3 linked regions of the Ovis aries genome follow. The protein of the gene in region 3 purifies or fractionates together with the protein of the main gene of each other region. This does not show direct contact. Links are inferred from orthologs where the notes say so. Each region holds a gene or a part of one and is shown on either strand. Other genes may lie near its edges. The genes, in order: PHLPP1, DMWD and USP12.

Region 1 (3,027 bases), on a different chromosome or scaffold from region 3:
TTCAGAGTGATGGCCCTCATCTGAGACCACTGCCCACAGCTCAGCAACCAGCAGGTGTGGGGAGGTCCAGAAGCGGGCAGAGTTTTAAACTGAAGGAGGCTGAAACAAATTGCTGGGGAGATCCCAGTGAGACTAGGTAGGGAGAAGTGAAGTGTTTGGAGAGGCAGACACTTATTCAAGGAGAAAGGCGGCTTCTATAATTCCTGAGCTGACTTTGCTGGCAGCAAATGGAGACGGTGATGCCTCCCGCTTCAGTCCAGCTGGGTGCCCACCATCTGAACCATGAACCAAAGTTTCAGACCGTTTGCCAGTAAAAAGCTTTTACTCTGCGGCTGAAGCGAGGAGCCCTGGTATAACTGCTTGGTTCTTGATTCTTCAAGTTCTTCTGCAGAAACGGTTAATCTCTGCACCATGTGCTGTTGAGCACGGGACTCAATGCACAGTTAACAGTGTAACTCGGTCCCATCTGAGACTCTTCGCTCCCTACATGGCGTCTAGTGTCCACTTCAGTCCTCTCTGCTCTCAGAACAGGAGGGGCCTGGGGTCGAGAGGAAGACTCCTTTCCCAGACTCCCACGGTAGGTCCTGAGTTGTCTTCCTCACGGCCCTGGGCGAGCCTTCCTGGAGTCAGTCTCTCTCTACTGACTGCAGACCTCCACCACTGTCCACCTGGACATCACACGGCTCCTCGGGCTTTACTGACAAGCGAGACTGGACACCTCCTGTGGGCAGACAAGGGAATCACGTCGACAGCACCTATCCGTTTCAGGCACACAGAGGTGACCCCCACTGCAGGGTGAGCGTGTGAACAGAGTCCAGCTCTTCCAGCCCGTTCTGGAGGCTGTGCCGCAAGCAGCCTTCGGTGCCACAGCCCGACGGCCTTTCTCAGCAGCGGCACTTGGACCTTCCGGGCCAAAGACTGTGCTGTGGGGCCGCCCCGCACCGTGGAGGCTCAGAGGGGCCGCCCGGCACCGTGGAGGCTCAGAGGGGCCGCCCGGCACCGTGGGACGCTCAGCAGCGTCCCCGGCTTCTCCCTGGGCGTCCCTGGTGGCTCAGACGGTAAAGAATCTGCTGGCAATGAGGGAGGAGACCAGGGTTTGATCCCTGGGTCGGGAAGATCTACTGGAAAAGGAAATGGCAACCCACTCCTGGAGAATCCCAGAGACAGAGGAGCCTGGCGGGCTATAGTCCGTGGAGTCGCAAACAGTCAAACAAGACTGAGCGACTGACACACAGGCGCACACACACTGGCTTCTACTGGCTACGTGCCGAAAGCACGCACTCTCCACCCCAGTTGTGACAACAAAAATGTCCTCAGACATTACCAAGTGTCCGTGGTGTTGATGGGGGAATGGCCCCTGGCTGAGAACCACTCACCGCCTTATTTGCGTGCAGCAGGAGGCACGGACTGAAGTAACAACTAGTTAATTCACACTGATACGTACACTGGCCTCGGGAGCCAGACAGACGCCTCGCCACGCCCGCTTCACCCAGGAGGAAGCCGAGGCGCCGAGGTTGAAAGGTGACAGCCTGCAGGGCCCAGAGCCAGGAGGAGAGGAGGGCAGGCAGTGTGACCTCTGCGGGCCTGAGCCCTCTGCGGGCGCCCTGAGGAAAAGACAGGATGACCGTCCGGCTCTGACATGGAGAGGGCACCAGGCCTGAGCCCCCTGCGGGCGCCCTGAGGAAGGGACGGGGTGACCACCCGCCCTGACGCAGAGAGGCCACCGAACCTGAGCCCCACTGCGGGTGCCCTGAGACACAGCCAGAATGACCGCCTGGCCCGACGTGGAGAGGCCGTCGGGCCTGAGTCCCCAGTGGGCGCCCTGAGAAGGGGATGGGGTGACCACCCAGCCTGACACGGAGAGGCTGCTGGGCCTGAGCCCCGCGTGGGCGCCCCAAGGATAAGACGGGGTGACCACCCAGCCTGATGCAGAGAGGCCACCAGGCCTGAGCCCTCTGCTGGCGCCCCGAGGATGGGACAGGGTGACTGCCCGGCCCTACGCAGGGCCTGAGCCCCACTGCGGGCGCCCTGAGGAACAGCCAGGATGACCGGCCGGCCCCGACGTGGAGAGGCTGCTGGGCCTGAGCCCCCAGCGGGCGCCCTGAGGAACAGCCAGGATGACTGCCCGGCCCCGACGTGGAGAGGCCGCTGGGCCCTGTACTGTATTCTGCACGTATAATGACTCAGGCACGTCACACGCAGCCTGCTCTGTGATGCTGTGGATCCGGACCTGTCATCTCGGATCAGCTCCGGCGTCTACAGGACGCCGACGGAGATGCTCCCCGGCCGGTCCCGCAGCCCCCTCCCAGCCCCGCCCAACCTGAGGGAGACGGCCCTCACCTCGGTGATGATGGCCTTGTGCCGCTTGATTCTCTGCAGCTCCTCCTCGCAGCTCACAGCATATGACTTGGAGAGGGGCAGCGGCTCGCCGCTCCGGCACAGCACCGTCTGGCACTTGCCCACGTTGGCGGAGGTCAGGGTGAAGGGTCCTCCTGGGTCCCCAGGGTCGTGCCTGATGTGGCAAAGGACGGCAGCGCCTCCAAGCTTCTGCCCGGCTGTGCCCAGCTTCCTGGAGTGCAGAGACGGGGCTGAGAGACCACACCGCTGCCAGACGGCCACACGGGGCAGGGGAGCAGAGCTCGGGGCTCCACGCGGCGCCTTCACCGAAGCAGGGCCTGCCGGGCGCAGGGGAGCCCGCGACACTGGGCGCACACACAGGCACACACGCAGGGCCTGCTCCCAGCTGCGCGGGGCCGCTCCGCCACAGAAAGCCCGAGGAGCCGCTGAGGGACAAGGAGCCCTTACCCGGCTTGGTGTGGCCTGCGGCGCCCGTTTCAGTGCGGCCAAAGCCAGCGGGGGTGGCCGCGTCTCCCTCACCCTCTGCTCCCGAGAGGGGCGGGGGGGACCCAGCGCACAGGAGCAGGTGTGACCCCCCCACGACGCGTCAGAGTGGCCGATCGCGCCCCTCACGGGCTGCTTGCAGGCAGGAGCCTTCACACACTGCGCTGTTCATGTTCTTGTCCTGCA
Region 2 (2,415 bases), on a different chromosome or scaffold from region 3:
CACTAACGAAGCCCTCTGCCAAGGCCCGCCTCCGCCTGGGTCCTGGTGGGCCGGCGAGGAGAGACTCACCGCCTTGCCCGGCCGGGCCCAGGTGCAGATGAGACCCTCCTGGCAGGCAGTGATGATGCAGTCCTCCAGGAAGAGGAGGACCGTGAGCCGCTCCTGGGCGATCTTCTTGCACACCAGCGGCTCCAGCAGCGGCACCTCGTGGATGCGCGGGCAAAGCGCGGTGCCCAGCACCTTGGCGGGGTCCAGCCGGCTTCGGGGGGCGGGACCGCTGGGCTTGTCCCCGCCGCCCCCGCCCCCACTGCCACCCCGGCTGATGTTGCCCAGACTGTGGTAGCGCTTGTGCTCTTTCTCGGCCCCGCGGTCCCGCCGCTCCTGCAACGTGAGCGTGGCGAAGCGGCCGATGCTGAAGGGTGTGCCGGGCTCTGCCGCCGTGCCCGGGCCGCCCGCCTTGCCGCTGCCTGCGGGGTGTGGAAGGCTGTTGGAGCGGGATAGTGAGCGGGGCAGGGGCCCGGGGCCCGGCTCGCCGCCCCTCGAGCCGCTGGCGGTAGGCGGCGTGGTGCCGGGCGTGCCGGGGAGGGTGCGCGTGCGGGCCAGGGGAGGGTGTGGGTAAAGCACGTCTTCGGTGAGGTCCCACAGGCAGAACTGCGTGTCCTGGCCGGCCGAGCCGAAGCGGTAGGTGATGGAGCCGGCCTTGGGCAGCGGGGACAGGGGGGCGCCCCCGCCGGAGCCTGTGCTCCCAGCCTCCGGCTCCTCCTCCTCCTCGCCACTCCGCTCCCCGTCGGCGCCCGCGGCCGCCGCCTCCTCCGCCCTCGTGGTGTAGGGGTCGAAGGCCACGGCGTTGACCCAGGACTTGTGGCCGTGGCCCCGGGCCACCACGCGGCCCTCGGCGAAGGACCACACGGTGACCAGGTCATCTTCACCCCCTGTCACAACGTAGCGCCCATCGGGGCTCCAGCACACGCAGAGAAGGCCCCCAAAGTAGCTCTTCATGAGCCCCCGCAGGAGCATGGAGTCGAAGTGGAAGACGCGCAGGCAGCCATCCTGGCTGACGCAGGCCAGGTGCCGGCCGTCGGGCGAGAAGGCGAACTCGTTGAGGGGCCCCTCGCCCACCGCCCACTTGGCCAGCGGGTTGCGGGGCGCCTTGCTCTTGGCGGCGTAGACGGCAAAGCCCTCGCCCTGCTTCAGCAGGCTATACTGGGGCGGCGCCGAGGCGCATGGGTGGCCGACGTTGTACAGGTACAGGTGGCCGCTGGCGTGGGACGCCAGGAACAGGCTCTCTGACTCGGGCAGCCACTTCAGATACGTCACCTTGGTCTTGTCGATGAGCCGCTACCAGGGGAGAGAGTGCGGTTGGGAGAAGGCCACCCTCCCCTGGCCCACCTCCCCCTGAGCCTGGTTCCCGGCAGAAAGTCATCATCCCCAGCCTGGGTCTCCCAGGAGAGGAGGGGCTGAGGGAAAAGGACAGACACCAGCACGGGAAGGCAGGGGGAGAAAGGCTGTGTGAGGGGCGCTGTAGAGTCTCAATGTCCCTTCTTCGGCAGGAGGGCAGTCCTGCATTCCAGAGCAACATCTTCTGTCTAAGCCCCTCTACCATCTTTACCGTGTCATGCTTAAGGCAAGAAATTGATTCACCGACTATCAGCTCCCCTGAGGGAAGGGACCTTTGCTTATTTGGTTCATTGTTCTGGCCCCACAGCACAGAGCTCCACAGGTAGGAGCCCTGGAAAGTAGTTCCTGGACTCATCAATGACAACCCCCATCCTATCCACTGAGCATCTCTGCTCCTTTTTGTCCTCAGCACTCTCTTCCACACCTGCAACAAATCCTGTGGGCTGGAGCTTCAAAATTCACCCAGAAATGGACCTGTTCTCATCTCCCTGCCACTGAATCCAACCACCCTGGTCTCAGCCCTCATCAGGCTTGTGATGGCCTAACCGGCCTCCCGGCCACCACTGCCCAGGTCTCTTCTCTACACCATTGCCAGAGAGATGCGACTAAAACCTAAGCCAGCAACCTAGCACTCTCTCCCACTCTGAACACACATGGCAGCCTTTATCAGGCAGGGCTCCGGAGAGAACCAAGTCTTAAAGCCCTTAGGCATCCAGTGCCTGTAACAAATTAACTTCTTTCCCAGGTATCTAAGTGGATTCCCATTCTGCATTCTCTGGAGAATTTAGAAATCAATCAAATCGTTTCTGCTTTCTATAACTCAGGTGAACCCAGGTGGCAAGCGTTCATGACCTTCCAGACCCTCCATCTCCTCTCCCTTCCGAGTTGTTTCTGAGAACTCCTCTATTACCCTCCCCCTCAACACTGCTCTGGTCACCCAGCCTTTCTGCTCTCCTGCTTTGGGCATCTGTGCTAGCTGTTCCCTCTATGCAGAACGTCCTTCTCCCCAGTAACTTC
Region 3 (4,388 bases):
AAATAAAATTCTGTCAACTTTATTATTTATAGAATAAAATGTCAACTCACTATAAATGTTTTCACAGTTGCTGATTCTCTAAGAGATCCAGCCCCCTCCTCCCACCACCCAACACACAACCTCAATCTCAGCCACGTTTAGCCAAACGCACTCCCCCCAGACATTAGCATGGGATGGAAGGGACCCAGAGAAACTCTTGACTGTCCGCAGAAGGTAGTGCTCTACCAAACTGAACAAATAAACAACAGTCCCTCTGCTTAAGGCCTTTACAATCTATTATAATAAGGCGGTACAACATAGCCAGTGTTCTTGCCTGGAGAATTCCAGGGACAGAGGAGCCTGGTGGGCTGCCATCTATGGGGTCGCACAGAGTCGGACACGACTGAAGCAACTTAGCAGCAGCAGCAGCAGCAGCAGCAGCAATGTGAGAAGTACCACTGAGATTAAAAAAAATGCTGTGAAAAGACATGAGTGGGGATGAAGGCTGGGGATGGACAGGTGTAAGATTATTCAAGTAAGGCTACCCGCTTGAGAGAGAGCTGTGAATGCGCCAGAAATCTACAAAGGCACACAGGTAAATACTTTTCTTTTCTTGGTTGTCTACTTGGTGATATCTCAGAAGATAGGCTGAAGTCCTCCTTAAGCAAAAGATTGCAGGCTACTTTGAGATGTTCAACCCTATCTCGGACAGCGTCAGAGTTTTTATTCAAATATGAACACTGACACACCCAATTTTAACACTGCTTCAGGAGCAATCTCATTTGGCTGAGCACTGATGTTTCTGTATTTGCCAACAATACACACATCACACTACATGCAATTAATGCACCAGAGCAGAAGCCCTAGGAAGAACTCTAGAGCATAAGGTTCTTGAGATCAAGATCCCACTCAGTGTTTGACATGGCAAATTGCTCTGCCTCATTTTCTTAATTTGACTAGCGAATCTATAAATTCGTTGATGTGAATGATGCATGTTTCCCTTAAGTAGAAGGTAAACAACCCTGAAAGCAAGAGTCCCACTTGACTGCTGCTGTATCCCCAGCACTCAGCACACCCTCCTGCACGAAGTAGGTGCTAAATGTATACCTGAAATACTGGAGTGGATGAGCAGTCAGTAAGACAGACACATCTCTCCAGAAACTCTAGACTTTGACAGGGAACCATGACCCGGCAATCTGTGCAGGCTCGGCGGTCTGTGCAGGCTCAGCAATCTGGTGAGATTATCAAGATTATCATTTTCAAAGACTTAATTATCACATTCTTTCTGAAATAGAGTAAGATGATAACTGACACATCTAAACGTAATTTATCTACCTGACCCTTGGAAATCATCCTTTAATACGGTCCCTTTAACATCAATGCTTTCCTAAAATGTGAACTGTGCGAAAAAACATCCACTTGAAATGGACTCTTCATGATTCATTCTTCAGCGTGATGTCTTTAATACTGTAGATTTTAATCCCACCTGATTTCAGCCATTTTTAAAAATACTGGTTCTCAGAGTGCAGTTCAGAAATCTGCGGCTAAAAGCCATCTTTCCGATCGGATTCGCAGCTCCTTAAAGAAAGGTACAGGAAATGTACCACCCATACGAGGAAGACAGCTGGTGGGGGGCGGGGGGAATCTCCCACAGGCACAAAAAGGGCTGGGAAGGCGTAAAACAGAAGGAAAGACTGCAGGAGTCTTTAATAAACGAGATCGCTAGGCCCACGTGGTAGAAGAATAACTTTTTTTTTTTTTTTCCTGAGACGGCTCATAACTAAGATCGCCAGAGAGATCGCCAGATGTAAAAGTCATGAGGAGCTAAGGAAACGAATTCGCCCCCACCGTGTGAAGTGACAACGGGTACCCTGGCCAAGCACAGAACACCAAGATTTAAACGCACACTTGCTCTGCTTAACTCGGGACTTGTCCACGAGGCAGGAGCTCTTTTCCCCTGAAGCTCTTTTCCCCTTCTACTTAAAAATCCCCGACACGACACAAGACAGCGATGCTGCCGTCAGTTCCCGCACAGAAATACTTCCAAGTCACACACCGATGCGTCTGGTGCGTTCAAGTAAACAAACGACAGGAACGCTTAAGCTGTTCTCAGGATCGGCGGGCATTCCCGGACAAGACTCCCCAGCTCCAAACCAGGGAGCTCGGTCACCTCCGAGGAGGAGACACGGTGAGGGGAGGAGGGGGGGTCAGTTTCGACAGCACTTGAAAGTTTCCCTCTTCGCGCGCACACACACACACACACACACACCCGTCCCCCGGGCCCGGCGAGGGGACGCGGCCTCGCCAGGGCGCGGAGAGCAGACCTGCGCCGACTTCCGTGCGCGCGGGCCGGCAGCGGGACTTGCCTACCCCGCCGCGGCCCCGCGCGCTCCGGACGCAAAGGCGGGGACACCACGCGCGTGCTCCCGCCTCCGGCCCCCCAGAGCCGCGGCGATCGGGAGCACCGCCGGCCCGCGCCCCTCCCTGCCCACGCGCGCCCCGGGGCCGCTCCGCCCGCGTTCGGGCCGCGCCGTCCAACCGCCCCCGGCCGGCCCCGCGCTAGGCCCCGCGGGCGGCAAGGGCGGGGACGCGGGCCGCCCGCCCGCCGTACCTACCATGGTACAGATGGAGGCGAGTTTGGAGACCGTCATTAGGATTTCCATCCGCCCAGCGCCATCTTCCACCCAATCGCGGCGGCGGCGGGCGGGGAGGGAGGCAGCCGGGCCGCCCGCTCACACCGCGGGCCGACCCCGAGCCTCCGCGGACCCACGCACCGAGGCTGCTCAGCCGCCGCTGCCGCTTTCGCCGCCGGCGCTCCGGCACTCCCCGCCGCGGGCCCCAGCCCCCGCCTGCCTGCCGCCCGCCCGCCCCCGGCTCCTCCCCGGCGCAGGGCGCAGCCGCTGCCTCGCGGCCCGCGCCTGCCCGCCGCGCACCCCGCCCAGCGCGCTGGGGAGCGGGCTCCGCCGAGGCCCTAATGCCCGGCCTGCCCAGCAGATGCGCGGCCTGGCGGCGCGCCCGCCCCGCCCACCATCACAGGCACCGCCCCGCCCCTCCCACCTCCGCGCGCCCTGCCCACTCCTTCGCCGGCCCCGCCCACCGCCGGCGACCCCCCCACCGCCGCGCACCCCGCCCTCTCTCGTGCCGGCCCCGCCCACAGCAGCGAGCCTCGCCCGCCGCCGCGAGCCCCGCCCACTCCCGCGCCGGGCCCGCCCTCTCCCCGGACACCTCCCTCCCGCCTCCCTGAACGCGCCGCTCTGGGAACTCCCGCGCCGGCTCCACCCCGCGCTCGGCCGGGGCGGGGCTCGAGCGGCACCGCCTTCCGTCCGCGGCCCTCGCGGTCCTAGAGCCTGCGCTTCGGGTGAGGGACGAAGAGGGGCGCGGGGATGACTAGCGTCCATCCTGAAAGGAGCTGACCTCCAGCTTCTACCACGGCCGAGGGAACAGCTAGCCGCCACTGCCCAGCCAGAAAACTGAGGGGGGGGGTCTCGACAATCCTGGGTGCAATGGGGGGAAACCTGCTTCTGGACGGTTAAAATAGCCCAGGTCATCCAGCATCCCAAACGGCAAAAATGCAAGGTGGTTTGTCTCTTTTTACACACTTTGGGTGAATAACCTGGGTCAAAACACCATGATTTAGCGAAAGACAAATTAATTCAATAAACGTGAAAGGGGCAAAGAAGAAACTATATATATTTAGCTCTTTGAATCAAGAAAGGTAAATTACAAGGAAGGGGGCGAAGCTGCTTTCCTGCCTGCTTGTTGGCCATAAATTTAGAATTTGGTTATAAATATAGTTTCTAAATATATTTGTTCTGAAAGTCGAGTTGCAAAATAGGAAAGATCTCAACCCAGCAGTGACGATGATGTTCCCAGGGACAAGTAGTCCTGCAAGTGAGAAAAAGGTCCTGTGAGAAATGGTGAAGCTGGTGTTAGCCAGGAGAACAGTTACCATTTTCTGCTTTTGTAAAATGCATAATTTCACCCTGTGCTTCCTGTCAGGCAGGGCAGCTTCGTGTCTTCCTATCTGAGAAAGAAGTTCAAGTTAATAGAATATAAATTATTGTATTAGCCTGCTTGTGTGCTCAGTCACTCAGTCGTGTCTGACTGTTAGCGACCTCAAGGACTGTGGCTGGCCAGGCTCCTCTGTCCATGGGATTCTCTAGGCAAGAACGCTGGGGTGGGTTGCCATTGCAGGGGAATCTTCCCCACACAGGGATCAAACCCGCATCTCCTGTGGCTCCTGCATTGGCAGGCGGATTCTCCACCACTGAGCCACCTGGGAAGCCCTTATTGTATTAGAAAGCGTGATTTTTCACGATTAAAGAACTGTAGTCATGGAATGCTTTTTTGGGTTCCCCCATTTCAGTGGGGCAGAAATTCAGACGCAACTCTAAAATCAGATATTCCTT

The links.
Region 1: the proteins of USP12 (region 3) and PHLPP1 purify together in Homo sapiens (affinity purification with mass spectrometry; 4 studies listed by BioGRID and IntAct, with this or other methods). This does not show direct contact. The link is inferred for Ovis aries from reciprocal best matches to the Homo sapiens genes USP12 and PHLPP1.
Region 2: the proteins of USP12 (region 3) and DMWD purify together in Homo sapiens (affinity purification with mass spectrometry; 3 studies listed by BioGRID and IntAct, with this or other methods). This does not show direct contact. The link is inferred for Ovis aries from reciprocal best matches to the Homo sapiens genes USP12 and DMWD.

The regions. Positions count from the first base shown.
Region 1 is NC_056076.1:61,589,488-61,592,514, reverse strand, and holds part of PHLPP1 (PH domain leucine-rich repeat-containing protein phosphatase 1), read right to left. Parts: intron 2,570-3,027; coding exon 2,341-2,569; intron 1-2,340. UniProt on the Homo sapiens protein: Protein phosphatase involved in regulation of Akt and PKC signaling.
Region 2 is NC_056067.1:53,110,731-53,113,145, forward strand, and holds part of DMWD (dystrophia myotonica WD repeat-containing protein), read right to left. Parts: intron 1,339-2,415; coding exon 70-1,338; intron 1-69. UniProt on the Homo sapiens protein: Regulator of the deubiquitinating USP12/DMWD/WDR48 complex. Functions as a cofactor that promotes USP12 enzymatic activity.
Region 3 is NC_056063.1:32,937,498-32,941,885, reverse strand, and holds the start of USP12 (ubiquitin carboxyl-terminal hydrolase 12), read right to left. Parts: upstream 2,806-4,388; 5' UTR 2,643-2,805; coding exon of another isoform or gene 2,595-2,642; intron 1,212-2,594; 5' UTR 1,165-1,211; coding exon 1,087-1,164; intron 1-1,086. UniProt on the Homo sapiens protein: Deubiquitinating enzyme that plays various roles in the regulation of the immune response and inflammation.